Linked DNA regions of Notamacropus eugenii. The protein of the gene in region 4 purifies or fractionates together with the protein of the main gene of each other region. This does not show direct contact. Links are inferred from orthologs where the notes say so. Each region holds a gene or a part of one and is shown on either strand. Other genes may lie near its edges.

The links.
Region 1: the proteins of SKP2 (region 4) and E2F1 purify together in Homo sapiens (affinity purification with western blotting; 6 studies listed by BioGRID). This does not show direct contact. The link is inferred for Notamacropus eugenii from reciprocal best matches to the Homo sapiens genes SKP2 and E2F1.
Region 2: the proteins of SKP2 (region 4) and cadherin-1-like purify together in Homo sapiens (affinity purification with western blotting; 3 studies listed by BioGRID and IntAct, with this or other methods). This does not show direct contact. The link is inferred for Notamacropus eugenii from reciprocal best matches to the Homo sapiens genes SKP2 and CDH1.
Region 3: the proteins of SKP2 (region 4) and CCND1 purify together in Homo sapiens (affinity purification with western blotting; 3 studies listed by BioGRID, with this or other methods). This does not show direct contact. The link is inferred for Notamacropus eugenii from reciprocal best matches to the Homo sapiens genes SKP2 and CCND1.

The regions. Positions count from the first base shown.
Region 1 is NC_092872.1:417,786,158-417,793,765, forward strand, and holds the start of E2F1 (transcription factor E2F1), read right to left. Parts: upstream 3,007-7,608; 5' UTR 2,533-3,006; coding exon 2,278-2,532; intron 1-2,277. UniProt on the Homo sapiens protein: Transcription activator that binds DNA cooperatively with DP proteins through the E2 recognition site, 5'-TTTC[CG]CGC-3' found in the promoter region of a number of genes whose products are involved in cell cycle regulation or in DNA replication.
Region 2 is NC_092872.1:708,185,842-708,193,562, reverse strand, and holds the start of cadherin-1-like, read right to left. Parts: upstream 3,013-7,721; 5' UTR 2,769-3,012; coding exon 2,709-2,768; intron 1,696-2,708; coding exon 1,581-1,695; intron 1-1,580.
Region 3 is NC_092873.1:21,909,318-21,916,920, reverse strand, and holds the start of CCND1 (G1/S-specific cyclin-D1), read right to left. Parts: upstream 3,009-7,603; 5' UTR 2,755-3,008; coding exon 2,557-2,754; intron 1,317-2,556; coding exon 1,101-1,316; intron 392-1,100; coding exon 232-391; intron 1-231. UniProt on the Homo sapiens protein: Regulatory component of the cyclin D1-CDK4 (DC) complex that phosphorylates and inhibits members of the retinoblastoma (RB) protein family including RB1 and regulates the cell-cycle during G(1)/S transition.
Region 4 is NC_092875.1:424,995,223-425,002,944, forward strand, and holds the start of SKP2 (S-phase kinase-associated protein 2), read right to left. Parts: upstream 3,012-7,722; 5' UTR 2,761-3,011; coding exon 2,475-2,760; intron 1-2,474. UniProt on the Homo sapiens protein: Substrate recognition component of a SCF (SKP1-CUL1-F-box protein) E3 ubiquitin-protein ligase complex which mediates the ubiquitination and subsequent proteasomal degradation of target proteins involved in cell cycle progression, signal transduction and transcription.

The DNA.
Region 1 (7,608 bases), on a different chromosome or scaffold from region 4:
GCAAGGAGAAAAGGGAGACATCAGAGTCCATATAGAGGCATGAGGCCCTGTGTGACAGATAAGGAAACCAGGGAAGTGACTTGGAGAGGGATAAGTAGATAAGTGGTGGAAGTTAGATTAGAACCCAGCTCCTAACCACAAATCTAACCACAAATCTAGGACTCTCTCCTCTACACTCTGATGCCTCTGTGCCACTCCCCACCACTATCAGTCCCCTGGGAATGCAGCTCCTTTTCCAGTTCAATAAGGGAAGGCAGGAAACCCATATGGCATGGACTCAGATGGGCACGAGGTAGGTCTGCAGATCATTTTTGGGATCTCCTCTCCCTGACTTACCCAGGAGAGCCAACTTAGCAGGGCACCTTATCACAGCCCACAGTGGGGGTTTGCCATATGATTTGGAGACCTTCTACGACCTCTATCCAAAAAACCACTGCAGTCTCATCTCCCTCCCCAACACACACACAGACACACACACACACACACACAGCCACACACACACTACAGCCAATCGGAATCGCTGGCTGCTGAAGAAGGGCCTAGATTTCAGGAAGTTTTCCCAACATGACTGGTGCATCTGCTGTAATTCCCTTTTCTCAACACTCCCCAGGGCCAAGACTTTTTTTAATTTTTCAGACAGGTTTTGTTTGGGGTTCGCCTCCTCCTTCTTCCAGACTACACAATCCAGTAGCCTCATCAATATCCCAGATATCCTTGGGGAAGTCCCTTGGAAAGGCCCTAGGACTCTGACTTGACCACAAAACATGTCCTAGGAATCCCAGGCCAAACCCAATCTGTACAGTTCACTGTCCCAGGTACAGAGGCCAGCTCTCCTAACTCCCCCTTTTCCCACATTAGTTCCTCTTAGGTAGGACCACCAACCTCCAGGGGTCTCAGTGCTATCAGGACCAGATACTAAGGCCAAACCCAGGGCCTGGTGTCTGGCTTCCAACAGCAGAGAGAGCTTTCTTTGGTCTCAACCCAAGGGAACCCAACCAGGTTCTACAGGTTCATAGAGAAAATGGAGGGAGGGAAGGGGGATGAGAGGGGCAGGGCAGCTGAGGTGCAGAGGGAGGGAGACTACTTGCCACAAGCAGCTCAACTGCTCCCTCTTGCCTCATTCAGCCCTTCCCCCAGCCACCCAGGCACCACACCACAGAGGCCAAGGACCAGCTCAGTCACCCGTTCCCTTCCCCTCCCCCAGGGGGCCTAGGGGAGCTGAACAAGTTCACTGAGCATTTAGACACTATGGCAACAAGCCCCTTGAAAATATGAAGGCAGGTGGAGAGGACCAACAGATGGAGGGGGCGGTGGGAGGGAGAACATCAGCTGCCACTCCAGGCTGTACCCTCATTCCCTAATGGGGGAGAGGCAGAACCCATTCCCGCCTTGCCGAGGCCTCACACAAACAGCCCACTTCAATTTTGGTCCATTTCTGGGGGCAAAGAGAGCAGAGCCGGGAAAGGCAGCGCCCACACCTGGGCACCTTTCGAGTACCCAGGGGCACTCAGCAGATGTTACAGGGGCACTGGGTGGGCAGCTGCAAGCATAGGACCCCACAGCATTCTTTCTCATCCTCCTCTTGAATCAACTATGATCTGCCCCCCCCTCCCCCCCGCCCCAAACACACACACACTCCAGCCCTGGCAAAGAGCACTCCTGTTCTACAGCGTGTAGCCACTCCTACTGACACAAACCCACCACCTCATTTTACTGCCACCGGTGATGTGGTTAATAAAACAGGACTTTGAACAGACTCAAATACTGACACCCAGGGTCCATCCTCAATCTCAGCTCTGCCCCAGGCCAAGGGCTGCCCTTCGGCAGCCAGAGTCGGGTCTCTCCACTGAGTGGAGGGGGTTGGGAGTATCTAAAGGCCAGAGCCCACCGTCCAGTGGGAGGAGAAAGCCAGCTTCCACCGCCGCCCCCCTCCTATCCAGACCCGGCCTCGGAGCACTAGGCCACGTTCTCTGAGAGGGCAAAGGTACAGAGAGTCCCCAGCGCTGTGAGGCGGCCACAGCTCAGCTCCACCCCGGAGGCAGGCGCATTGCAAGGGGGCTCCCTCTGGCGCAAACCCATCCATCTGGTACAGCCGATTAGACTCCCCTCCAGCCGTGCCCCCGCCCGCAGAGCCGCCCTCCTGGCCGTGGGATCAGCCCTGGAAAGCTGCCCAGGGCCCCTGGCGCTCGGGTCCCGCCGTGGAGATGCATGCTCACAGAGATGCCCGGGGCCGAGGCCCGCCCATGGTGCTGGGAGGGCGGGGAGTGGAGTAGTTACCGGAGGCCGGCCCAGGGCAGGCCTGGGTCCGCTGGCTCCGGGCCGGGGCGCCTGGGGCGTAGCGAACAGCAGCAACTCGGCCTCTCGGGGCCCCTCGGCGGTGACGGGGACAGCGGCGGCGCTGAGCGGGCCTTCGTCCTGGGTGGAGATGATGACGATCTGCTGCTCCAGCAGCTGCAGCCCCCCAGCCCCCAGCAGGGCCTCTAGCTCCGCCACGCACGTGCCGCCGCCGCCGCCGCTGCCGTCCAGGGCCATGGCGGCTCCGCTGGCTCGCTCGCTCCCCCGGGCACCGGCTCACATCCCAGGGACAGGGACTGGCCGGCGGGCCGGGAGGGCTGGGGCGGGGCGCGGCCCGAGGCTGGGCGGGCTTCCGCGGTCGCCTCTCGGGGCACTATCCGCTGCCGGGGGTCTCGGCACTAGAGCCTGCTCCGGATCCCAGATCCATAGTCTCCGGCTCGGCCTGGCCTGCCCGGCGAGGGCTCAGGGCCCCGGACCGGGGCTGGGGCGCGAGCTGCCGGAGGCTCCGAGAGGGCCCTGGCCCATGCGCGGTCCTGGACTCCGGGGTTCAGTAGTGATGGGATCCGTACAGACGGATGGAGCCGAGGCGGGAGACTGGAGGACAGAGCAATGCCCGGGACCGGAGCCGGGGCTGGGAGCTTGTTTTGGTCTCTCCAGCTGATCCCCGCAAAGTCCCGGACACTTTTACGCGCCAAATCCTTTTTGCCGCGAAAGGGGCACGAGCCGGGTAGCGGCGCTCCCATTGGCTGGCAGCTCCGAGATTGATACAGAGAAGCGCCGGCGCCGAGCCCTGCTATTGGTTACGGCGCGCCGGCCCCGGCCTGCGTGTCCAAGGGGGGCGGTCAGCACGTCACTCTCAGCCAATCACCGCCAGGAAAATGCGCAGGCTTTGTCCGGGAGGCGCGCCGCCGGGAAGGAACGGACTCGGAAGCTCTGGTCCTGCCCAGTTCGGCCCTGCCCAACCCCGCCCCGCCCCGTTCCAGCTGGTGATGGAACCCTCCCACAAGACCCCTTAAGTCCAGATATCCCCTACACCTCTCCTTCAGTTCCGAGAAGCCCACCCCTGCCAGGTACGCTTCCGAGATTCCCCTCACCCCCGCCTTCCCAGACCAACTCCCCAAGCGTTGCAAAGCGTCTGCCCTGCCGAGCCAGCACTTATGAAGCGCTTCCTATATGTCAGTCAGGGGCAGCGAGGCAGTGCCCTGGAGAGATCGCGGGGCCTGAAGTCGGAGAGATCTGAGTTTCTATAAGAACACCTCTTAGCTGTGTGACCCTGGGGAAGTTGCTTTGTCGCTCAGTCGTGACCCCGTAATGGGCTTCTCCTGGCAAAGATACTGGAATGGTTTGCCATTTTTACGGAGGAGAAAATGAGGCAAACGGGGTTTGCCCACGGTCACGTAGCTAGTGTCTGAGGCTTGAATTGAGGGGTCTTCTAGACTTAAGGCTGACCACCCCAGCCGCCCCTGTGTTTGCCTCAGTTCCCCATCTGTAAAATAAGGACACACTGGAGAAGGAAATGGCAAACGATTCCGGTACTTTGCCAAGAAAACCCCATGGTTTTTCCCATGTCATGGGCTCACAGTAGAGTCGCACTCAGCTAACTAACAACATGTGCCAGACATTGAACTAAGTGCTGGGGGTACAAAGAAAGGCAGAAACCGAGTTTACCTTCTGATGGAGGAGACTACAGGCAAAGAACTGTATATACAAGATATATACTGTGCAAACATAGGAAAGGTACTTGGAGGAAGTGAGAAGTAGGAGGACTAGGAAAAGCCTCCTGCAGAAGGTCGGATTTGAGCCTCCTCTTAAAAAGGGGCCAGGGATGGCAGGAGGCAGCAGAGAGGAGGGAGACAATCCAGTCATGGGGCACAGCCATCGAAAACACAAGGACTGCAGAGATTCATATGAACTCTGGAGGAGTTTCTCCCCTAGACCTTTCAGTTCAGAGATACTGACAATTAAACTCAAAGACAGCCCCCCCCCCCCCCCCCCCCCCCGGCTTGTCATCTGAGAGACACCCTCCCAATTCCCCAAACCCAGGTCCTCAGTCCAGGAACACCCTCCTCCAAACACCCACAGAACCCTTAGCCCAGAGAGATTCCCCCAGAAAAAGTTCAAACTTGGGGACTCAAAGACTCCCTCATACCAGAAACCAGAATCACAGACCATCCCCAAACCCTGAAACATCCTACACGTGGACCCCCTAACACATAATCTCTACTTCTACAGATACACCACTACCACAGAGACCTGTCTCACAGACATAGATCCCCTTTGACCTGAGAGACAACTTTCCCCTCCCCCCCATTCAACCTAGAGGCTTTCAATTCTCTGCATTCCTTTTTTCCCTTTTAAAGATTAAGATATTAAGACAAATTAACATATTTCCTATGTAGGCCTAGAATGGATTTTCCCCTGCTTCTGGGAGATCCTTCCTCCTTTCAGTCTCCCTTGTCATCTCAAATTGACAGGGATTGGGGAAACTGAACACACCAATTAACTTGGACTGGACTAGCCCTGGGAAGAAACCAGGTTTTTTTGGAATCTTAAAAGTATTATGGGAGTCCTCAGGCCCAGATTCTCTGTAGCTGCTTGCAAACACCTGGTTTTGGATTAGCAACCTACGTACCTGATTTCCAAGGAGATCATTACTGAGAGATGGGAGAGTCTCAGAGAAGGTCTGGGTTTGGGTGTGTATGGTCCACCCCTCTACCCCACCCCCACCCAACCCCTACAGCAAAAAACCTTTGCAACCTACCAAGCTGCCCAGATCTACCCTCTGGACTGGACAGTTCCCTCATTTTAGAAGTGAAGGGAAAGGGGAATAAACATTGTGTACAATCCAGGCACTTTTACAAATATTCTTTCATTTTATTCTCACAACAACCCTGGGAAGGAGGTGCTATTATTATCCCCATTTTGAGGAAATTGAGGCAAACAGAGGTTAAGTGACTTGTCTAGAGTCACACAGCTAGTATATTCGTGAGGTCAGATTTCAACTCAGGTCTTTCTGACTCCAGTCCCTGTTCTCTATCCACTGCAGCACCAACTGCCTGTCATTTTAGAGGTGACTCGGCAACATCTGTCTAGTTGGGAAACAGGCACTCAAGAATAGTGAAGGCAGGTCTGTAAGCCCAAGGAGCAGGAAAAGCAAGAAAGACAGAGGGATTGTATCAGACCTAAACTTTTGTATTTCACCCAATACAGGGCAGACACATAACAGATGTTGAATGGATGGATGGATGGATGAATGAATAAATGAATGAATGAATGATGAATGAATGAATGAATGAATGTCATGAAGCAGATGTAGCAATAGCAAGATTCTTTCTTGAAGAAGGCAGCACTGGGTCAAGAACAAGCAGTGTGGATCAGTAGTAAGAAGGAAATGATCCTTCTAGGAGTCAGAGAGGGAGATTAGGGTAGGGTCCCCTCTGGGTTCCCTCCCACAATTCACCCAGGGCCAGGCTGGTAGAGTACCCCAGCAGGAGGTGAGAGTTTTTATAATTCCAGTTCACAACCTGGATTCCCTGGGAACCCATTATTATAGAAACCAGAAAGTCACCATTCCCCTAAGACAGGTGGGGGTCTTATGACTGAGAACAAAGAGGAAGTCTTCACTCTAAGGCAACCTAGTAGTCTCCGCAGGCCTTTTCATATTCGTTGGAGCTATCCGAGCCTTAGACCTCTTTCCCGGAATGTATTGTTTCCTTTTTCACTGAAAGTGCTGCTTTAATCTCAGTCAGTCAGTCCAAAACACATTTATTTAGAGCCTACTATGTGCATGGTCCCATACTTGGCCCAGGAGATACAAAGAAAGGCAAAAGATTAATCCCTGCTCTCTACAAGTTCTCGGTCTAGTGGGGGGTACATGAAAACAACCACGTGCAAACAATAAGTATGTAAGATAAATAGGGGATAATCAAGGTAGAGAAGTCATCAGCATTAAGGGGAATGAGGAAGGTTTCCTTGAAGAAGATGGGATTTTAGCTGGGACTTCACCTCTTCAGACTTCAGAAAGGGCACACCCCTATACTGGTACCATTTCCATTCCTTGGTTTGGTATTGCCTGTGGCCTTGGGGTTGACCCTTCCCTCAATTCTAGGGCAGCCTATGAACAGGCTGATCTGCCACATAAATTGCTGCAGACTTCCAGGATGAAAATAAATAGTTCTTTCCTCTGGGCCACATGCCACGGATGTCCTGTCCCCAGCCTCAAGGAGAAGAGCAGACTGGAAAAGAAACAAGCTAAACTGGAATCCTTTGAGTGAGAAGGGACAGTTTCTTTACAGATAAAGAAAAAGAGGTCCAGAAAGTAGATGGGACTGGCCCAAGGCAGCACATAAGCTCAGCGGCAGATAGAAGCTTAAACACTATCTGTTAATATCTACTTGAAAGATGTCATACCCAGAAGCCTTAGCCCTTTTGAGCGCTCTTGTTCTAGGGCTCCTAGCCTGAGAGCTGCTGATAAGATTTCCTGTTGGTGTCAATAATCATACTCATGCTTGAGTTTGCATGAACCGACCCTTGGGCTGGAGATGCTTGTCATCACCTCAGACTCAGACTGACAGAGTTTGAGCCACACAAGGCAATCCTAAAGCTGCCTTTTTTTTTCATCGTACAGTATTAATTATTGAAACCTGAGGCCAACCCAAAGCAAAACCTGAAGTGGGCAAAGTTGGTCTTTCTCTGTTCCTCCTCTGCTTTCCCTATGTATTCAGGTGCCTCCTGGGTGCACCCAGAGCCTGGATCCGGACCAATATGCAGTCCTGGTTACCACACCAGGCTTTCTGGCCCAACTCCAGGCACCTGTTCCAACTTAGAGAGAGCCCTGTCTCATCTCTAGCCCTGACATCTGGACAACTCTAGTAAGAAGGCACAGAACCTAAGAGGAAAAAAACGTCCTATATTGCCTAGTCCTGTCTGATATTTGATTCCTAAATCTTGCTTCCTGGGTCTGCTGTTAGAAGTTTAATTTCCAGTATTAAGTCTGGCCTCACTAATAGAATGTAAGCCCCTTGAAGGCAGGAATTGTTTCCATTTTGGCTTTTGTATATCCAATGCCAAAAAAAATAGAAAATGAGGATCACACAGAGGTGCATGGTGGATAGCTGTGAACAAGCTGTGACAGGACTGTCCTGGCACTAGCTCTAATCAGAGCCCATTGTTAAATTTTTAGTGGGAGTATGTATACTTTAGAAATGTGACTGCTACAAATCTGGACTTGATTTGTTGATTGTCTAGACTTAAGAAAATGTTAATAATGCAGATTTGTAATACAGAGTAATGAAGTTAATAATGCAGAAATGT
Region 2 (7,721 bases), on a different chromosome or scaffold from region 4:
AAAAAGGGAAAAGGTCTCACATGTACAAAAATATTTATAGCAGTTCTTTGTGGTGGCCAAGAACTGGAAATTGAAGGAATGTCCATCAATTGGGGAATGACTGAACAAGTTGTGGTATATGAATGTAATGGAACACTATTGTGCTATAAGAAATGATGAACAGGACTTCTAAAAAGCCTGGAAAGACTTATATGAACTGATACTGAGTGAAATAAGCAGAACCAGGAGAACACTATATACAGTAACAGCCAAAGTGTGGAAGGACTGTTTCTGATAGACTTAGCCCTTCACAGAAATGCAAGGACCTAAAACATTCCCAAAGGACTGTTGAGGCAAAAATGCCATTCATATCCAAAGAACTATGGAACTGAAATGCAGAATGAAGCAGGCTATTTTCTCTTGTGTTATGTTTTGGTTTGGTTTTTCTCATGATTTCTCTCATTCATTTTAATTCTTCTATGCAATATGACTAATGTGAAAATGTTTAAGAATGTATGTGTAGAACCCATATAAGATTGCATGCTCTCTCAGGGAGGGAGGGAGGAAGGGGAGAGAGAAAGGGGAGAGGGGGAGAAAAATTTAAGACTTATGGAAGTGATTGTTGAAAACTGAAAACAAATTAATTTTTTAAAAATTTAAAAAATGATATTTGTTTCCTAATTATTTCACATGTGCTTATTTGGCCTCTCCACTTATATTTCAACCGACTGAAAGCAAGGACAAAAAATGAATGTCTAAGGTAAGAGATGACCTCAAATTTTAGACTTCAAATCCAGCACTTTAGGGCTGATCTTGGGAATCAAGAAGACCACCTAAGCACATAATTTCAGGGTGACCAAGGGCCAGCCTTCAGGCAACTGTTTAAAATTAAGTTACAGTAGAATTGCTCAGAAAGGGGTGGAGGTTGGGGAGAAATTTCAACTTCGATAAAAATCACAAATCCTCATTTAAAAAAAAAGTCAATAGGAAAAACTAAAGTGAAACAGCAGCTCTCACACTGAAACTGGAAGATACCATATTTCACTCATTTACACAGTGAATAATATTCCAAACTTCCTCCTCACTTGGCCAGCCAGGAAGAAACTCAAACGTAATTATGATGGCACTGTGATAAGGCCAAGAAATGACCAACTCAATCACATGCTTTTCCTGAGTCAGTTATCAGGGCTGTTTTTTTTTAAAATCAATACCTATAGGAATATTATCAGTTCCATTTTTATCCCTAAGAAGAAAAATTCAATACTTTGCAAAGATGGGGGATGAGGGGACGCTCTTAAATAATTTAAGACTTTAGGTCTCGTACAAGATAATGAGACAAAAAGAAAAGTAGAGACGTTGGCAAGTTCAGTAAGTATTTGTTGAGGCGGGGATAATTTCCAAAGGGAAAAGGGATTCCTACACACAGAAAACCCAACATAAAGGTTAACTTCATCAAAACCCGAGCGCGAACTTTCCCCGCTCCCGCCCTCAATCCAAGGGCTGATCACTTTCCTAGGTCATCGATTCCCCACCCACCCCCTGGGGCTGGGCACCGGAACAGCAGGAACAGCAGCCGTTCCCCTCCCCCACAGGCCGCTTACCTTGGCCCAAGATTCGGCCTCGCTCCAGGTGTGGCCGGGACACCTCGAAGGTGTAACTTTCGGAGGCAAAGCCCGGACGGCAAAGCCCCGTGTCCTCGCAACGCCATAACGACGCCTAAGGGGGGAAAAGGGGAGGTTTGGGGTGACTGGGAGCTGGAGGGGGTTGCCTTCCTCCCCCGCACCGAAACCTGCCAGCCTCGCCCCAGTGGGGGTTGGGGGTGAAGACGGCCTGGTCCCGGGCCTTAGCCGCTCCCTCCCCACCAGAAATCCGTACAGCCGGCTGCTCCCAGGGGACTCGGAGAGTTTTGCTGAGGGGCGAGAAGCGGACCAGAGTCAGCTGTGTCCAGCCCAGACGGGTCAAACTTCCCAAATCAAAGCGACATTTCCCCTCCCTCGCAACCCGATCCCATCCAGCCAGAATCCCTGGGTCACCCTCCCCTCTATCCATCTGCCCTCCTCCAAACTCACACGCTCCCCAACTCTCACTTTTACAGGAGATTCCCACCCCGAGAAATGCCCCTTTCAGTCACAGATCCCATTAACCCTAAACACACTAGAGATCCGCCCCCCCCATACACCAGCTCTCCCCAGGCTCATCTCTCCCCCCTGCCCAGATCCACCACTTACAGTGTGACTTCAGGGCCAGCTCAGATTTCTCTCCTAAAACTTTGGGTACAATGTACCAAGCCCCCCCCCACACACATACACACACGCACAGACCCCAGAGAAAAGGAGAAGGGTGGCGACCGAGGGAGGTGCCGGATCGGCGCTAGGATCCCCTAAGCCGTGCGTTTCCCCACTTGCCCCCTCGCGGGGCAGTGCGCCAGCTCGTGGGCTAGAATACCCCTCGAAAGCAAACCAGTTCCCGAGGAGAGTCCCGAGTGCTGGAGTAAGTTCGGTCACCCATGGTGGGGGGGTGGGGTAGGAAAGGAGCACAGGAGGCGAGGGAAGCTTAGGGGAAGTGAAGGGAGGAATCAGAGGAAGGGATGGGTGTAAGGAGGGCTCCTCTGGGCTGTGAGAGGCCGGGGGCAGCCGAAGTTCTCTCCAGGGCAAGGATCAGCGTCTCCCCACATCTTTCTTTCATCCACCCGGAAAGTGCCCCATCCCCCTCTTGCTCCGGGGCTTTACCTGCAGCAGCAGCAGCAGGAGAGAGGTGAGGCTGAGACACCAATTCCGCCTAGTGCCCATGATGGGGGCGCCGGGGGTGCGGCCGCAGCTGGGGCAGGAACGCGGCAGGGGCTGGGGCCCGAGCGGCGCAGCTCGTCGGAGGCGCAGGTGGACCAAAGGTTTTCCAGTCACTTCCAGGGGCCAATACTGCGGCTCCAAGCCAGCGGCCAGCCAGGTGAGCCCCGAGGGACCCGCCCCGCGGAGCTGCTGATTGGCGCGCACGCACACCTGCGCCGGGAGGAGCCAATGAGACAGTCTGGATGGCCTAGCCCAGCCCAGGCAGCTCTCTTTCCCTTCCCTGCCCTGAAGTTCTCAGGCTGTCTACCCACCCCGGGCAACTGATCACTCCCTTTTCTAGCCCTCGGAGCGGTGACTTCTCATGTCTAAGTCAGAAGTTGAACTTCCGATCTTTCACCGCTGCTTGTGGTCGTCTGCATCTTGGAGAGCCCGGACAGTCCACAGCCGGACACCGAGCGGTACACATTCTAAAGAGTGGCATCGGTGGGAGAGCGGCTGCGAGTAGGAGAGAATCTCATTGCAAGATTCACTGAGAATGTCTTCTCCCTAAGTCCCATATTGTCTGGTAAAAACTGGGAGTGGGGGTGGGAAGATTCCAATACGCGGTGAGGGCTCTGAGTCGGGGAATCTCCTTATGAAGTAACTCATAGGCATCTGAACCTTTTGGGAAATGTCTTTTGATCATCTTTTATAGTGTGGTAGATTCCCACAGGTGAAAATGGTCCGCACAATCCAACCCCTCCTGAAGTAGGAATCCTCGCTTCAGCGTCCCTGGAAAAAGGTTAAAGGGTCAGAACGTATCACTAATTCCCAGACCCCTTCCTTCCCCCCTCCCCAACTTTCTTGCTTCTTGCCTGGGGATGGTCTTCAACTTTTCTGCATGTGAGGATTCTTTTTAAGTACAAAAACATTTCCAGAGCAGCGGTGACTGTAGTTGTACTATTAAACAAAAAACTTTCTAAGCGTTCATAACAACTTAAAAGTTACTAGTAAAATATAAATGTATTCAAAACCTTTGCAACAAAGTTTACATAATTCCAAAAAGTTGCATATTATTAGTTGGACTTACATAAAAAATCCAAATGACAATGATTGCTAGGCAGATGACATACTAGTCAAGTGCATTATTTGGAGTCTAGCCAACCACTATTACACATTTATTATGTACTGTGCACTTCCGTAAGAGCTGGAAAAAGATTGAGAGCTAAGGTCCTGGGACTACAACAAGGGAATGCAAATAGAAGCAAAAAAGAAAGTCTGCCCTCAAGGAGCTTACTTTTTAAAGGAAGAAAGACTCACCTAAAAGAAAGCTAAAAGCTGTTGGGAGGGGAAAAGAAAGAAGGAGCCTATTGAGAAGGAACCATGGAGAAAGATGTGAAGAATCAGTCATGTCAGAGGAATGAAAGAGCATTATGGCTGACCTGAATTCTTCCTTAAAATAAAGGTTTCAGGAGAAACTAACCAAAGAGAAGAAGGGAGAAGAAGGAATCTCCCAAGTTGAGAAGGCAGCAAAGTACAGGGCATCTCCCAGGGTGAGATGGCATCAGGGTACAGCCACCTTCCACAGTAAGAAGGATGCTTTTGAGCATGGTGACTTCCCAAGCTAAGAAGACTTGGAACATGGTCAAGAAAGTTCTCAGAGTTAGGAGAAGAACTGGAGAGATTGGTGTTAAATAAAAATTAAAATGTCCATAGGGGTGGGAGAATATAGATTTCCCTATCCCTTGAAAAAACCCTTGCTATTTGTCATCCATCATAAACTGGGAATCACTGACCTAGAAGATTATTAAGCCCACTTCCAGTAATGAATCCTAAGACCATCTTCTAAACCTGGAAGGAACTTGATATCAGGTAATTTATACTCAAGTGTGAATCATGTCACAAATTCAGAGTTGGAAGGGACAGCTCCAGCTGCCTTCCCAGTGTTCCAACCTCCTCCCCTAGATTTGTCCTGGACACTCCATTTGGGCAGATGTCAGAAGTAAGGTCAGTTTTCTTGTCAGTAATTCATATTTTACTTTTACTTTAAAACAAAATTCAAGGTATTTTCCTACACCAAAGCAATGCCATTCTTATCAATTGCACTTAGAAGATGTGGCATATTTTACTTGTGGGTCTGTGTAGTGTAGACTTCACACAGGGTAATCATAAAAGATATTCTCATTTCAATACTTTTATCAGCTACCACTTTATTTTACAATTACCTTCCAATGGCATGCTTGCATTTTCAGGTTGCTCCTTTGGGATTGAAGCCTTGAAAGAGGAAACAGGAACAAATAGAGGAAGTTAAATATGGGGCAAACACCTAAAATAATGTCCAGAATGCCAAGCCCTCAATCAACAGGCATTTATTAAGCACCTACTGTGCACCAGGCATTGAAGTAGGGGCTAGAAATAAAAATATAATGAATCAAAAACTTAAGTTATATAGGAGATGACAAGTAGATAAATGGATAGATAGATAGCTAGATAGTAAATGGATGGGTAGATAGGTATATGTATGAATATACACATACATATTATATATCTGGATATAAAGACAGTTTCAGCTTAAACTTAAAACTGCACTGAGATTTTTGGAATACCCTGTATTTAACTATTTTGCATTTATTTTATTTATATATATATCTATATTATATATGCATATATCTATACACATAAGCTTTATTAAAGCTTTAAAGTTGCACTGAGACTTTTGGGACATCCTATACAGGGATTTTGAGGGGAAGGGCACTATAGGATAGGGAGAGTGGGTCAGAAAAGGTTTCACATAGAAGATGATGCTTGAACTTCTATGAGTTGGAAATGAAGAGAAGAGCGTTCCAAGCATGGGGGTAGGCAGGTCAGTGGAAAGATACCAAGTATGTTAGGGAAAAGCCAGTTTGATTGGATCACAGAGTATGGCAAGAGGAGAAACATTCATTGAGGCTGAAAAGATAGAATTGGGGTAAGGTAGGGAGAGCTTTAAAAAACAAAACAAGTTTCTGTTTATCCTGGAGATATTTATCCTGGAGGCTAAGGGTAGTGGATAGTATAGTGGATAGAGGACTGGTTTTGAAGTCAGGAAAGAATTCTTTTCATGAGTTCAAATCTGACCTCAGACACTTACTAGCTGTATGACCCTGAGCAAGTCATTTAACCCTGTTTACCTCAGTTTCCTCATCTGTAAAATGAGCTGGAGAAGGAAATAGCAAACCATTCTAGTATCTCTGCCAAGAAAACCTCAAATGGGGTCACAGAGAGTCAGATACAATTGAACGATAACAAAGACTACAAGGGCTGATGGACCATTGGCCAGAGCACGTTGTTTCCCTTTAACATGTGTGTTCCACAAAACATGGCAAAATAGAAAGGGAACTTGGTTTCCTGTCTTGCTTTGGCTCTAGGATCTTTAGTGAGTCACTCCTTCTTAAGGCTTCCATTTCCTCATTTGTAAAAAGAGGGAGCTGGATTTCCATGGTCACCTCCAGCTCCCAGAATCCTGGGAATGAAGCTGTCCCAAGAGGGGCTAATCTCATTATTTAAGGAACAAGCCACAAAATGAGAAAAGGGGAAATGTGATTAACCAGGGATAGTTCTATGACAGGAATAACTGACATCTATGTAGGACTTTGAGGTAACAACAAAAATAAATGTAATTTAGAAAGATAGACAGGGAAACTACATTTTGCTAGAAGATAGAATAGACAATGAATTAATATCAACACTAAATATATGCCTCAAGTATCACAATATCCAAATTCTTAAAGGAAAATTAAATGAATTGTTGGGAGAAATAAGCAGTAAGAGTATAATAGCGAAGACCTCAGTTTATTCTGCTTAAACCTATATAAATCTAACCAAAAAAAAGAAAGGAAAAAAAATGAAGGGGCTGAGTAGAGTTTTAGAAAAGACCTCTGGAGACAATCAAAAAGTAATAGCAACTTTTTTTCTCCGTTCTGCATGGTACCTTCACAAAAAACTGATCCTATATTAAGGCATATGAACCTCACAAATAAATATAGAAAAGCAAAAACATTAAGTACATCTTTTATGGACCAAAATGCAATAAAATTATATTTAATTAAGAAATAAATTGTGTGCTTTCTACAAAATCTCTAGGGGAGAAAAGCCTTCCTATGTGAATTTCTTTTTTTATTTAAGAACTTATAAAGAAAAAAGCTGACTGCAAACCGAGTTAAAATTGTTTACCAGCTCTCCCGTTCCTCCAAACCCCATTCCCTCCTTATTAATGGATTTCAGATCATGTGCTGAGGTCATTTGGGTTTATACATTTTAGCAGTAGCTACCACCAGGATAGATCAGTGGAAAGAAGATACAGTACATTTCCTTTCTCGCCAAGGCTCCTGCATTAAACAGGATAATGGAAATGATGAGAGAAACTTTTCCCCCCAGAGGCTAACTGGTCAGTTTATTTTTTTCCAGTTATATAAAAATATGTACTTTATATGATGTCTACTCACTAAGCCATCAATTCTTTCCTTTGCTCCTCCTCGAAAGCCTTCTAGTTCTAATTCCTTTGTGACTTACATGCACTCTTTCCTGTACACTGATAATTCAATAAAAAGGATTTTAAAAAACAATTAGATATGAATTCTGGCAGCTTGTACTCAATGTTCTCTTTCAAAGACCTGACTGCATAACTTCTTTTTTACATGTCAAGGAATCTGTCAGCTTAGGAGAGAAAATAACAATAGAGATCGCAACAACAGTAATAAATAATAGCTAGCACTCATATAGCGCTTTAAAGTCAGCTGAGCACAAAAACTCTGGGAGCTAAGTGCTATTATTAGACTTATTTTTACAGATGAAGAAACTGAGGCTGAGGGAAGTGTGTCTTGCCCAGGGTCACACCGCCTGAGTAAGCGGCTAAGACCAAATTTGAATTCAGGACTTTCTGACTCCAATTCTGGGGCTCCATCCACTACATCACCTAAGTGTGGAGGAGATGACCCA
Region 3 (7,603 bases), on a different chromosome or scaffold from region 4:
ACATCTGTCCAAGTGAGCCTCCTGCTGCCCTATGCCAAGCAGGCCGGCCCTGGGAAGATCCACCTGAGTGAGCCTCCCGGTGCCTGATGCCAAGTGGGCTGGCACATCCCTGTGAACGGTGGGCACTCCCAGGGCGAAGGAGAGTGCCCAAGCACAGGACCCCCGGGCACATTCGCCTGAGTAAGCCTCCCAGTGCCAAGTGGGTCAGCGGCGCCTCACGCCCCCACATACCTGTAGCACAGAGCGCCACGAAGGTCTGCGCGTGCTTGCGGATGATCTGCTTGTTCTCCTCCAGCGCAGGCATCTTGGACAGAAAGTGTTCGATGAAATCGTGGGGGGTCATAGCCGCCAGGTGCCACTTCAGCTTGTTGACCAGAAGCAGCTCCATGTGCTAGAAGGAGAGAGCACGGGTAGTGCAGGGAAGGGGGAGGGGATGCCCCAGTATGCCCCTGGGGATGGATGCCAGGATGGAAGTGGAGAGGGGGCTGCGCCTCCCCCACCCAAGGAAGGAGGCTTCCTAGGGACGGATGACCAGCGGTCACCACGGGAGGCGGGCGGGGGAAGGGGGGGTGCTGTTTCCAGGAGTTCAGACAAAAGGACCTCCCACCATCTGGAAGGAGAGGAGCCAGGCTCAGGAGCCGCGAGCACGCGGAGACACCGCTAGAGGGCAGCCGCTGCCCACTTTGTGGCCACGTTAGCTCGGTATAAACGTGGTGGCTGGAGGAGGGGAGGGGAAGGGAAGGGAAGGGAAGGGAAGGGAAGGGGGGGTGAGGCAGGGGCGCATCTTGGGGGAGGGCAGGGATAGGGCTGGAAGTAGGCAAAAGGGCTCGCGCTCTGTCTCTGCCCAGCCAGGGTTCTCTCCTTGGGGAATGATCACGGGCCCCATTCCTAACCCCCCCAACCCAGCAGAGAGGACACCCCCTCCCAAGGGCAGCTTGCAATTCTGGGGGCTGGCTGGTCAATGCAATTTGCAAGCTGTGACCTAGGTGGGCAGCAGGCTGGGCCAGGGTTAGGGGCATCCAGGTCTGCTGCCGAGGCCCAGGGGCACCCGACCACCCCCCTTTGCCCCCAGGAAGCTAGGGCACAGCAGGCATCATTACCAGCAGTTCCTCAGGCCGCACCGAGTGGTCCGTGTAGATGCACAGCTTCTCTGCCGTCAGGGGGATGGTCTCCTTCATCTTGGACGCCACGAACATGCAGGTGGCCCCCAGCAGCTGCAGCCGGCTCTTCTTCAGCGGCTCCAGGGACAGGAACCGGTCCAGATAGTTCATAGCCAGGGGGAAGACTTCCTCTTCGCATTTCTGCTCCTCACACACCTGGGGGTGGGAAGGGGGATGGAAGCAGGACGCCAGGGACCCCCAACCCTCCCCGCCCCCCAGAAACAGAAGGCCTGCGATCCCTGAGACACCATCCCCACCCAGCGGGACTGGAGGGGCCCGTGAGGAGGGGGCCGTGGAAAGTGCAGAAAGACCAATCAAGTCAAAGTTGCCCCCCCAAATAAAAACCCAAAACAAAAGCGAGGCCCGAGAAACTGAAAGGAAAAGTGGCCGACCAGAGGGCAAGGGAGCGGGAGGGGGGAGTGGGGGGGCACGGGTGGGGCGGGATGTGGGGGGGCTCCTCCGGGGTTCCTTCCCCTGTCCCCTGGGGGGTACCCTGGGCCCAGGCCACCCGAGGGGAGGGGGCGGCCGGCCTGGCGGCCCCGGGACCAGCGGCCGTGGCCCGAGACACAAAGGTGGCGGCGTCCCCACGCAGGCGGCGCGGCGGCCGCATTTCCCCAGACGTCATCTTTTCAAAAAATATTTAAAAATATTTAAAAAATCGCCCGGCACGTACAAAACCGCTGACAATGAGCCCCGGGCGAAGCGTGAGCGAACCCCGGTCTCAGGGACCGCGTAGGATCTGCTGGGGGCACGTGGGGAGCCCCGAAATGGGACGCCCCCCCCGTGCCCGCAGCGCGCGCGGCCGCCCGCCTCTCTGCCAGCCGGGGCAGCGGCCGCGCCTTCGGAAATTAATTAAAAATACTCAGAGGCCCGAGGGGGGCCGGCCGTGTGTCCGACAATGGGGGACAGGGTGCCCGGGGTCCACCCGCGCCCATCTCGAGCCCCCCCGGGGGCCCCAGCGCGCTCCGGCCCCGGGGCCCCGCGATCTGGCCCAGTGCGGCTGGCTGCGGCCGGGAGGCCAGGACCCCCCCTCCCACCTACCCACCCGAGGGCACAGTTCCCGGAGCGGCTGGCCCGGGCTGCCCCCGCGCCCCCTCCACGCGTGCCCCCTCCTCATTATTAATAAACACTTCTGCTTCGCTATAAATGCGCAAGATGGCGCGGAATACTGGCACGGGCAGCCCCTGCATACGTGTCCTTGGATATTAATTTAAAATAAAATCCCCCCCCTGCCCCCTCCCTCCCCCCCGGCCCCGGGCTCCCCGGCCAGCCGCCTGGCCATCCCAGCCCGGCGGCCCTCGGGCTGCCCTCCCGTGCGGTGCCGTGCCGGGCGGCCGGGTCCCTTCCTTCCCACGGCCCCGGCGGGGCGGGGGGCGCGCGGCGGAGCCCCACCAACCTCGAGCATCCAGGTGGCCACGATCTTGCGCATGTAAGGAAGGATGTCCTTCTGCACGCACTTGAAGTACGAGACGGAGGGCGAGCACGTCTCCTCGGCTTTGAGCATGGTCTGCAGCGCCCGATCGTTGAGAAGGTTGGCATCGAGGTACGCCCGGCGAATGGTCTCCACCTCGCAGCACAGCAGCTGGTGCTCCATGGCCGGCGGCGGCGGGCGGGCGGGCTGCTCCCGGTGCTCGGACGGACGGACGGACCGCTGGACGGACGGGCGGCGGGCTGGACGGCGGGAGCCCGCTGCTGCTCGGGCTGCGGCTGCGGCTTGCCTCGCGGTGCGGAGCGCGGGGGGCTCCGGGCCGGGCCGGCGGGGCTGGGGACTAGCCTCTCGGGGCCCGCCTCGCGGTGCGGAGCGCAAGGCTCGGACGTTGCGGGTGCCGCCGGGCTGCTCGGCCGCCGCCGCCGCCGCCGCCGCCGCCGCCACCGCCGCCGCCGCCGCTGCTACTGCTGCTCCAGCCTCTGGAGGCTCCAGGACTTTGCAGCTCGCCCGACTCCCCTCCCGTAAGTCCCAGTGACGTGACTGTTGTCGAGCAGAGATCAAAGCCCGGCAGAGAATGAGAAAGGGAGAGAGGGAAGCGGGGGGAGGGCCGGGGGCGGGGGGAGGCGAGGCGAGGGGGGCCGAGGGGCCGAGCCTTAAAGCCATCCAGCCCCTCGCCTGGGCCAGCCCAGCTCCCACAGAAGCCGGGCTCGAATAGAAATGCTAATCACTCCGGGACTAGCTTTCTTTGGGGGAAGTACGGAGAGGGGTGCGGGGGAGCCGGGAAGGAGGGGGTCCCCCGCGCTTTGTAAAGGGCAGCTCTTGGTCCTGAGTCGTGGGACAGACCCTGGTGGAGGCCAGGCCACCCGCAGCCAGACGGCCAGGCAGACACGTGAACTCTTAGCGAGCAGCCCCCCGCCCCAGCTAGCCGATGACCAAAGGGGCTAAAGGGGATCGGGAGGCGGGGGCAGGGGGCGAGGCCTTTTTCCCCCTTCGATTTCAAAAATCATTTTGATTCACTGCTGTAGACACTTGGGAAGCTTCTTAGAACGCCCGCATGTATGCGTGCCTGGGCACAAAAGGCCAGCAACTCCCTTGCAAGCGATCCTCCCCTGGAAAAGACAGCGTTTCAGCCCACACTTCCCGGCGTGGGACCCCCAGCTCTTCTGGCCCCCGAAGAGGGCCACAACAGTCCGGGACAACAAAATGGTGGTCAGCATTTCCTCTGGCCTGTCCTAGTACTAAGAGGAAGACTTTAGCCAGGGGAGGGAGGGAGGGAACTCCAGGCAAACCACCTTTCCCCCGGCCTCCTTCCACCTCTCTTCCCCTCCCCACTCAGGGGAATTCAGCAGCGAACCTCTGAATCCACAGGCAGGCGGCAAAATTCCGTCCTGCCTCCTTCTGGGGGAAAGAAACAGAAAAGAGATTGAGAGGGGAGAGGGGGAGGAGAGATCAATAAAAGAGAAAGAAAGGAGAGAGCGAGAAGAGAAAAGAAGAAAAAGAAAAGGGAATGAAAGGGAAGAGGGGAAAGAGGCTCAAGGTGGGCCCCCTCCGTCAGCGCGGGGTGGCCAGGGGGAGCGCACCCAGTTTGGCCAGGGGCACAGTCTTGGGAGGACTTTGGTGGGTTTCAAAGGGAGTGGACAAGAAATTAACAAAACGTGTTCAGCTCATCCGTGGCTCGCTCCATGTGCCTGACAGCGCCTCAGAAGGAGCTCAATAAGTGCGTGTTTCCTCCCTTGGTCTGCAGTGGACCGGCGCTCGGGCTTTCTCCAGCCCAGGGGCGTACACACGCCCCCCTCCAGTCTGGGCCCCTCTCCCACCTTCCTTCGAGATCCCGTTCATTTCACTGAGCCGGGCCGGGGCCCGCAGGCAGAGCCTGGGAAGGGTTCGGAGGGCTTGGAGCGCCTCGAGGGCCCTAGGGTGTTGGAACGCCACGCGTAGCCTCGAGCACGGGTGGGCTCCCCACCGGGCTCAGAGGCCTGGGGAGGAGGCCACGGTTCGGCGGCGTGGAGCCGGCCACCCCGCGCCGCCCACGCCGGGGCCCGACGTCAGCGCCGCCACTCTTTCATTCATAAAATCGCGGCCGTGGGACTGCCCCGCTAAACTGTAGGGCCCCAGGCGGGCTGCGACAGACCCCCGAGCCCCACCGCGACGTGGGCGCCCCCGGAGTTAGCCCCCGGCCACCCAACCGGCTCCGAGGCCGATTCCTGGAGGGAGCTTTCCCCCCTCGCTGGGTGGAAACCCCAGAGGAAGCTGGAATTAGCATTAGCCAATAGGAGACAAGATGTGTTACCAGGCGGATCAGGCAGATCTCAACGAGGAACTAACAGGCTGCATGGCCCGGACCCAGGGACCGGCGCTAAAGTGCACGGTGCGCGGAAAAACGTGAAGACCCGGGCCGCAAGGCCGAGCTCCCCTGGGCCGTCTAGGCTCTGTGGTCCGGTGCGGCCCTTCTTGGGGGGCGACAAGGAGAAGCCGGGGCTGGGAAGCGCTGAGTACACCCAGCCAGTTCCTTGACACCCCGCGTGGGCCGACCTCCCAAAGCACCCGGGGCTGGGAAGTGGAGTGGGGGGATGAGAAGAAGAGGATTGCAGAGACCCCCGAATACCGAGAATTAGTCTATATTTTTTATTTTCTCCGTTTCATACTGCGCTGGCCCTTTCCAATTCGACCCGACGGGGATGTCCTGCACTACAAGTAGTGGGGGGGATAAGGAGAGGCTCCCGGGAGACAATGAACTGACGACCCAGACGGGAGGGGAAACCTCGTTTACTGACCAGAAAGAGCATAATTAAAACGATCTTCCCATCCGACCCCAACTCTGACTCGAGAGTTAATTCAGGCGGATTCTTGTGTGTCTGACTTCGCTGGGTTGTACAGGATCAAGGAAACGATGGGATGGGCCAGCAGGTAGCGAAATGGGGACATTCCGGGGACCACCCCGCGGGAGGCTGGGGGTGCGGGTGTCCCCCGGGCCAGACGCTTTTCCCCCAACTCCAGGTCCATTTGGGTTAGACAGGAAGCCTTCCAAAGACCCGCCGCTCCCCACGTGGGTGGGGGGTGTGGGCTCACCTGCGGGCGTGTACCTGACGGCGACTTTAAAGGCTTTGCTTTCCCACCCCTACCCATCCCAGGTCCATAGCTGAGTTTTCCTGAAGAATGCCTCAGGGAGCGGGTGTGGCCCTCACCGCCCACCACCCTCCCGTCGACTCGCAGTTTCGGGGACCTATCCCGCAAGTCCCCGGTCCCCAAGGTTGTGTGCGGGATCGGGCTCGCTGGGAGCACATGGTGGCGTCCGTCTCTTCTGCCAACATAGCTGGGGTCAAAAGAGGGGGCCTGGGGACCCCCATTCGTCTTCCCCTCCCCAGTCGGGCACGATAAGCTGCTATTAGAGGGGGGCCTCCTGCAGCCCCTCCCTGCCCTCCCCGCTGGGACGGGAGGGGCCTCATAAAACCGACCCGGAGTAAGAACTCATAGCCTCCCTCCTCCGGGCGAGGGCCCGTGGGTGCCCAGGGTCACCGGGAGGGATGGAGGAGGTGGTGCTGGGGGGGCAGCCCAGAGTGCGCCCCCCCATAACCTCGCACAGCCGTTTGTGTCACTCCGTCCCTCCCCGTCCCCGACGGCGGCCTGGGCGAAGGCAGCGCCCCTGCCGCTGCCCCCGTCCCCGCCTCGGCGGGGCCTGCCGGGTCCTGCCCTTGATCTCCGGGGCATTGTTCTGCAGCCAGAGCCTTCGCATCCTTTACCTAGGAATTTGAGAGGGGGCGGGGGCGGGGACTCGGGGAGGGGGCGTCGCTGCGAGTCATGCAAATCTCAGCTTAAGGAAGTTCCAGGGGAGGGAGCGACAACCCACCCCCCATCGCGCGTGGGCAGGGCTGGGACTCGGGGGCTGGCGGCTGCCCGCGTGGGAGCGGGCCGCGGCTAGGCCCGGCCAGTCCAGGCTCGGCCCGGCCCGGCCCCGGGAGCGGCGAGCGCGCGCGGCTATCGCTTTAATTGAGGCTCGGGCTCCGCTCATTAAGAGGCAGCGCGGCGCATTCCGGGCATTCCAGCCGGTGCCTCCGCTCCCCAGGCCACGTGGTGCCCTTATCACCGCCGCCTACCGTAATGCCTGCAAGAGGCGCGCCCTGGCCCAGCGGGGACGCGACGGGACCGGCCCGAACGCCTCCCTCTCTGGGAGTGGCCGTCGGGGCTCCTCTCGGCTCCGCGCAGCCCCGAGCCCCCGGAGGTTGCACCAAGGCCGTAGTAATGACACCTCTGTTAACCCCCGACGGGAGTGTTCTGGAGCGGTTCTAGGCTTGCAAAGTGCCTTTCCCATCCCTGGACCGCGGAGCCTCCAGGCTCAGGCAGGTGGATGTGAAGCGACGTCCCTGGGGTCGAGCAGCTGCTGAAGTGTCCCAGGCCGGGGCTCCTGGACCTCGAGCCCGCACCCCGAACACGGTTCCCATCGCCATCGCACCAGAGAGTGCCAAACGCCTCCTTCGGTTCGTAGAGAGACCCCAGCAGGGAGGCCCCCCTAAGCATCCTCGACGCCTCGCCCCTGAGCAGCCGGGGAGGCTGGACCGCAGCCTCGGCCGGAGCTCCTCCTCCGGCCCATTTTCCCAAGCAGGTTTTTAACTCTTTGCAGGAAGTGCTTACCCAAAGCAAACCTAAATAAAGGCGAGGCTCGGTGGACTTTGAAATCCGGAGTCTCTCTAGGACTTCGACTTAATTCAGCCGATCGTTTACAGTCCTACTGTGTGCGCCAGGGCGGAAAGCACAGCGTCTGGATTTCTCCACGGTCCTGGACCATGGAAAAGTGCACGGATGATCTTTGTTACAATGAATTGAATAAATACAAACATTTCTAGATACAAAAAGAAGAAAGACCCCGTCCTCACATACTTCATTGTACCAAGGTCAAAGCAGCCCCATTCTTGACCCTTCTCTGGAAGTTTCCGAATTTAAAGGAGGGGATGGGGATGGATGGGGAGGGGAGAACAGGGATGTTGAACTTCTGTCGTGTTTCCAGCAACAAGATAAG
Region 4 (7,722 bases):
TCAGATTTATGGAGGATGAAGAAATTTATGACCAAACAAGAGACAGAGAACATTATGAAGTGCAAAATGGATAATTTTGATTACATTAAATTGAAAAGTTTTTGCACAAACTCAATGCAACCAAGATTAGGAGGGAAGCAGAAAACTGGGAAAGAATTTTTCAAGTAGTGTCTGTGATAAAGACCTCATTTCTAAAATACATAGAAAACTGAGTCAAATTTATAAGAATACAAGCCATTGTCAATTGATAAATGGTCAAAGGATATGAAGAGGCTGTTTTCAGAGGAAGAGATTAAAGCTATCCGTAGTCATATGAAAAAATATTCTAAATCACTAGTGATTAGAGAGATGCAAATCAAAACAACTCTGAGGTACCACATCATACTTATCAGAGTGGCTAACATGACAAAACAGGAGTATGATAATGTTGGAGAAGATGTGGGAGAGTTGGAACACTAATTCATTGTTGGTGGAACTGTGAGCTGATCCAGCCATTCTGGAGAGCAATCTGGAACTATGCCCAAAGGGCTACAAAAATGTGCATACCCTTTTACCCAGCCATATCACTTCTAGGACTGTATCCCCAAGAGATCATAAAAATGGGAAAGGGTCCCACATGTACCAAAATATTTATAGCAGCTCTCTTTGTGGTGGTCAAGAACTGGAAATCGAAGGGATGCCCATTAATTGGGGAATGGCTGAACAAGCTGTGATATATGAAAGTAATGGAACACTATTGTGCTAAAAGAAATGATGAACAGAAAGACTTCAGAGAGGCCTGGAAGGACTTATATGAACTGATGCTGAGTGAAAGGAACAGAACCAGGAGAACTTTGTACACTGTAACAACCACAGCGCAGGAGGACTTTTTCTGGTAGACTTAGACAACCACAGCAACGCAAGGACCTGAAACATTCCCAATGGACTCTTGAGGCAAAATGCCTTCCACATCCAGAGAAGGCTATGGAACAGGACTGCAGAATGAAGCAGAATATTTTCTCTTGGGTTATGTTTTGTTTTTTCTCATGGTTTCTCTCATTCATTTTAACTCTTCTATGCAACATGACTAAGGTGAAAACGCATTAAATAAGAATGTATGTATAGAACCCACATGAGATTGTGTGCCATCTTGGGGAGGGAGGGGGGAAGAAAGGGTAAAGAAGGAGAAGAAAATCTAAGACTTATGGAAGTGATTGTAGAAAACTGAAAACATAAATGAATTTAAAAAAAGAAATGAGTCTATTATTTTGATATTGCACCTCACTGCTTTCCTCTCTTCCCCTCGGGATAATCTAAATTGTTTGTAAGGTCAGTAGCCTTTGAAACCAGACTTAGGCTGCCTCTGTTCCAGAACTTCATGGACAGAACAAACTTTTTAACTCCTCCCCCTACTTCTCAGGTAAGGTCATCACTTAATCTAATACTTACTTAGCCTTTTGCCACAGGGGAGTAAGCCTTTTGTTGTATTTCTGTCTTTTTAGTATGCTTAACTCTCCCTGACTCCATTTATTCAAACCATTTAGGGTTTTCTTGGCAAAGACTGAAGTGGTTTGCCATCTTCTCCAGCTCATTTTACAGATAAGGAAACTGAGACAACCAGGGTTAAGTGACTTGCCCAAGGTCACACAACTAGTAAGTGGCTGAGGCTGGGTCTGAACTCAGGAAGAGTTTCTGACTCCCTGTCTGGCACTCTAACCTAGGAGTAAGCCTAAGGTCCTTAATTGCCCATCTAGGATTCAGTGCTTATCCAATACCAAGTGTAGAGACTGTAGAAAAAAGGCCCATGCATAAGTACAGGGCAGTACTGCACAGTATAAACCAAAGCACAAACCTGCAAGATCTTCACCTTACAAACTCTTCCCCATGATTTATGTATTCACTTCTGCATGTCACAAATCTAGTGAAAAGGTTGGAATGTACCTAGATATATCTTCAAGCAGATCATGACCAGAAGGTAAAAATTTTAAATGTTCCTGGACAAGACTGAAGGCATTGGCTAATCTATATTTTTTGTTGGGAACAATAATTAAATCAGTTTAGAAAACAAAGGGTGAGGAACATCCCTGTACCAATATAACTGTCTTAAGTACTGAGACTAGCCAAAAGTCACAAATCCAGTATGTGTTAAGATGAGGGACACCAGATCCTGATAGCTCTGTCCCCCATATACCATTTCATAATTCAATGGACTCTCCAAACTGAGATCTGCAAATATAATACATCTGGAAACACTATTGGATTTAGAGTCTGAAGACCAGGATTCAAGTCCTGATTCTGACATATACTTACCTGTCTTGCCCTAAGACCTTATTCTTACCAACTTTCTCATCTGTGGAAAGAGGGGGTTGAACTCCACGGGCCCCTTTCCATCTCCGAACCTATGATCTGGTGCTTAGCGGTCATCCCTAAAAGTTTTCTACTAACTCCTGGAAGTGTTGCAGTACAACAAGCAAACTTCAGGCTTTCAGACTTACCTGAACTATTCTCTTTGGATTGCCTGGGCCTGCGGGCAATTACAAAGTCCTTTTCCCTGGCTTTCACCTTCTGCTTCTTGGGCGGAGGGGCTGGCGTGAGGAGCAGCTCCTGGGGGATGTTTTCAGTGTCCACCTTTTCCTTCTCCAGAACTGCAACCCCCATGCCTGAGAGCAGATCCGAGGTCTTGTGGAGGTCCCAGCCCCACGTGAAGGTGAAATTAACATTGCTGTTTGTATCGGGAATCTCCTGGAGGTGTTTCCTGCAGGAAATTGACAAGCTTTCCATCAATGAGCATCCCCCCCACGAAGCGTCCGAGCCAAACCAACCCGGGCTGGCACAGGCAGCGAACGCACAGGGGAGTCTCAGCCGTCCGGGTGGCTGCTAAGTGGTGAGCTGGGGTACATGTGCATTTATCTAAAAAGCCTAGAAGGGGAGGGGGAGACGGGGGAGAGGAGGAAAAAACACGAACCCCCACGCCCGGCCGGGGAGGCTGGAGAGAAGCTCCCAGAGCCACGAGGCCAGAGCCTCCATTGGCCAACTTACCGTGCCCCTAAGCGCCTAAGCGGGGAAGGCTAAACAGCGCAGGTCCAGGGGAGAGGCACAGCATCCACATTTTCCTTCTCCTCCATACCTCCGCTGTGCACCCCCGCAAATAGGTCTGGTTACCTGTGCATGATGGACTTGCCGGGGCAGACTAGGGGATTTAAGTCCTCGCATGAATGGCTCAGCCCCGGATCTCCAGGCTTCCCGCGTCCACGAGCCGCAGCCGCACCTCCACGCCCCGCAGGCAGAGCCGGACCCAGCAGGGCAGCGTCCCATTCAACCCGCGCGCGGAACCTTTTCCCTCTCTCGGTAGGCGGCCCCGGACAGGCGCGCTGCCTGCTGGGATTTGTAGTCTCCTTCCTCCTGCCAAATCGTCGGTCTGCGGCCGTCTCTTCAGCCCACTCTTCGTATTCTCGCGCGCCCCTTCTCACTTCTCCTCCCACTCCGGCCCCGCCTACGATAACCCAGAAGCCCCTGCGGGGCGGGACGCCAGCGAGGCCTGGGGAGAGCGGTGACGTAGGCACGAGGAAGCGGAAGGGAAGGAGGGGGCCGGCGGAGAAATGTCACCGGCCTGAAGGCAGCCGGTGTTCCTGCGCTGCCTGGCGCCCTGCTCCGCGCTCACCCCGAGACGGCGGAGGCGCCGGCGGGTCCTCGCGGCCCCTCTGCCCGTTGGCCCACGGAGCCCCCCGGCGGGACGGTGAGATCGGGGCTCCGGGAACGCGCCGTGGGGGACGGCCGAGGCGGGGATGGCGACCCCGAGGGCCCGCCGCGCCTGCTGAGGGGGGCGCAGTCGTCCGGGTGAGTCGGGGGCAGCGGCCGGCGAGGGGCGGCTCCCCGGGATCCCGAGTCTGTCCTGGGAAGCATCACCACACTGCGGCCGGGGGTGGGGGTAGGCGTGGAAAGGAACGGGGGGGGTCGCCTGCCCCCTCCCCCGGGTCGTCACCCCGTAAGGTGCGGGTCCTAGGGCCCAGACGTGGAGGACATCCCCCCCGGGATGACGGAACCACTTCCGGGCCCCGGGCAGGACGGGCACCTGCGGCTCCGGGCGGGCCTCCCGGGGGGGGGGGCGGGGAGGACGCTTTCTGCTCCGCTGTTAGGCCCCCCCCGCCTAATGCCGCAGTCCCTGAGCAGCCTCCGGGTCCTGCTTCGGGTCCTGCCCCGGCTTTGCTCGGAACCGTGGAAAGATGACGTATCTGTGGGCACAATTAAGCCTCCTTCCCGCCGGATGTGAGTGGTTATTGATCTCAGTGGTCAGCTTCTTTGTGGATGGACGCACGGACGGACGGAGGCTGGGATGGATGGGGAGGGGGGTGCGTTCTCCCCTTTCCTTTCAGGGAATTCCTGATCCCGGAGGTTAGGGTGCCTGTGAGTCTGAAAATAAAAGGAGGCTTTGGGGAAACAAAAGGGTGATTGCTAAGCGGTAGCGACGATCGATACCTCTTGAATTGGCTGTCTTTATTTCAAACTACGTCAGCTTGAGGCTTCCTCTGCGTAGTTCACTAAACTGAGGTGGTTCTTGTAAGCGGATGATCTTTATTTTCCCAGCCATTTTTAGCTTCGTTATCGTGACATTATCGTGGCGGGGACGCGCCCTCGCCTCTTCTGTCAGTCCGGAAGGTTCGACAGTTCTTCCATCTCTCCTCTGGGGAAGAAGACATTCAAAAGAGCGTTTCAGTGCAAATAATTATGTTTTTATCCAAAAGAGTACGTCTAGGTCAAAGAGGACGTGTGCCCAAGCTACGTGCAAACCCTTTTGTCTTTACCCCTTTCCTTTGCACAGATCGTTGATAATTAACTAGTGACTACGGTTAGAAAACCTGGAGATACGGGAAGGGTTCCATAAAGACTGGCTGTCTGTCTGCGATATCCGTCTGCAGGCTAGGCTTTCTCTTGACTCATACCCTCTCTGGAATGTGGCGTCTTTGGTGTCGCTTAGTGTAAGGTCTGAAGTTCCAGTTTGTGAATTAGGAACATCTCTCATTCAGCCCTCACTTCAAAGGTGTGCAGGCTACGGGTGGGTGGACTGTGCAGGACCTCTTGTTGAACCTCCTGAGTGGAGCTCTAGAGAGCCCAGTCCTGCCCTGGAGGAACAGGTGTCCGCAGACTGCAGCCTCCTCAGCGTGCTTCATGGGGGTTAGTTTATTATTCATCATATTCAGTCCTGACCCATCATCTTAACTCCCTTCAGTTTATCTAAATTATTGAGAGTGTTAGCCTAAAACCAGCTTTTGTCCATTTTAAACTTGGAGTCATCCAGCCCATCAGCTTCAGTTAGATGTTTTCCACAAGCTTTGATTGCACCTGGCTTAGATTTAGCATTTCCTGAGTAATACAGACCCTTGATGAATTTTAGGTTTTTTTGTATTAAGGCTCACTTCCTTAACACCTCGTTTTGCATTTACACAAAGATATGATTCTTATTCCATGACCAGGATTATTGTAAAGAGATTTATTAGTGATCTAGGTAAGTGAGTTAATAATGGGCTTATTGTATTTGATGCCATTGAGCAGGGATTTGCCAACACTTTGGAAGCTTGAAATAGAATTCACAGTGATGGTAAAGGAGACCTGTCTCTATTGGACTAAATCCTACTGGGATGTGTAAGGTACTTGGTGGCAAAAACAGATACAGGGGGCGAATGGCAGAGCACGGACGTAACAGAATAAGAACAAGGAATCACAGCTGACTACAAGTGGAATTAGTTATAGGAATAAGGATAGTGTAATAGTATCAAAAAATCAAATATGCTAAGAATTCATTTTTATAGAAATAATGGCACTGAAGCCAGGCTGAAATTGTGGGAATAGTAGATGGAGAAAGCTGGCCTCAGTCAGGGAAACTTGGTTTGGTGCTGACATATTACCGACTGACCCTGGAACAGTCACTTTATCTCCAGTGCCTCAGGCATCTGCTTTGGTGGTGAAAGTTTACAGTTGAGAACTTGAGTTCTCTATGCCACTGAAATCACAGATCTCAACCACACTTATACTTGCCGCCTCAGCTGTAATGATTATCACCTACATTAAATAAGAACTGGGATGTAATCCTTTTAAGTTCTCTTTGGCTCTTAAACAAACAAAGAGGTAAAGGTATTAGGGATATTTGTTTACCTTGTGGATAAATGGGCAAGGTCCATGGTGTATAGTCAGAAATTTTAGGTACCTAAGTAGAATATTCCAGAAAGCGTCTCTTACTTTGTTAAATATAAAACATTCTCAAAGTAGGTATGACTTCCTTGGTTGATATTTGTAATGATAAAGGATAAAATAACTATGTGCCTTAAAGGCATATTTAATTAAAACTGACTCCTTGTCTTCCTACTTTACCCTCACATAATGTCCACCATAAGCAGTTAATCTTCAACTAATTCAGAAAGTTTAGTATTTCTTGAAAGTTTAATACTACGCTTTACGCTGCTCTGAATTTTTTTTCTCTTTACAACATTCTAGCATCTACTCTACCCTTTGTCATAGTTACTCTGGTTCTGCCTTTTGAGACTTCTTTAGTTTCTGGATCCTAAACATTGTAGGAGTTTCTCAAGGAGTTGATAGATGAAATAAATAGGGGTTATCTAATGTTTATCTTGAAGTATATGAAGAGTGTTCAAGGTGAAGATTACAGATCAATTTTTTTTATCACAAAGGATTGAACAAGAGAAATGAACTTAAATTCAAGAGAGAATTCTTGGAATTTATTTTTGTTACTAAATGTCATTTTTTTCTTTATTAATCTCTCCCATTCCCTTTATCTAAATCATGGATCAGGGTAAGAAAAAAACTAACCAAATAAAGCCCTCATTACAACAGCTGTAGGCTTATGAAACAAACTCCTACTTTGTGTCTGAAAATGCATGTCTTATGTATTTTAATTTATCACCACATTGTCAAGAGGTATCATGTTCCATCATTTTTTGGACTTGTGTTGGTCAGACTTCTAAAGTTTTCCAAATTTGTTTTACTCTACAATTTTGATATTGGGGAAAGTCGTTTTCCTAGTTCTCTTTGCTCTACATCATTTCATAGAGGTCTTTCTCGAACTGTCCCATTTTTTAAGTTTCTTTTGGCAAAGTAATGTTCTGTTACTTTTGTACACTGTGGCTTGGTTAGCCATTCCCTAATGAGAGGATACTCTTTTAGTTTCCAGTTTGGGGTTCTCATGAAAAGAATTGCTCTAAATATTTTTGTACAAATAAATCCTTTTCCTCTTTTTCTGATTTCATTGGAATATGGTCCTAGTAATGATATAGCTAGTTAAACAGGAATGAGCATTTTCATAGTTTGGGGGACATAGTTTAAAATTACTTTCCAGAATAGCTGTCCCAATTCAAAGTTCCACCAACGATGCACTAGTGTACCTGTTTTTCCCACAGCCCCTCCAACATTTGTTATTTTCTTCTTTTGTCACCTGCCAGTTTGATGGACTGTCTTGAAACTTGAAGTTGCTTTAATTTGCATTTCTCTACTTATTATTAATATAGAACTTTTTTTTCCCATAAAGTTGGTGATATCTTGTAAGTTCTCTTTCGAAAACTGCCAATGTGTGTCCTTTGGCCATTTATCTATTGAGGAATCGTTCTTATTATAAATTTTAATCACTTCTTGTATATCTTGTTTGTGAGACTTAGAAATCATTACTGTTATTAATTTGGAGCTTTGATTTTAATGAGATAGGAAATTTCATCTATCAGTACAGATCAACAGCAG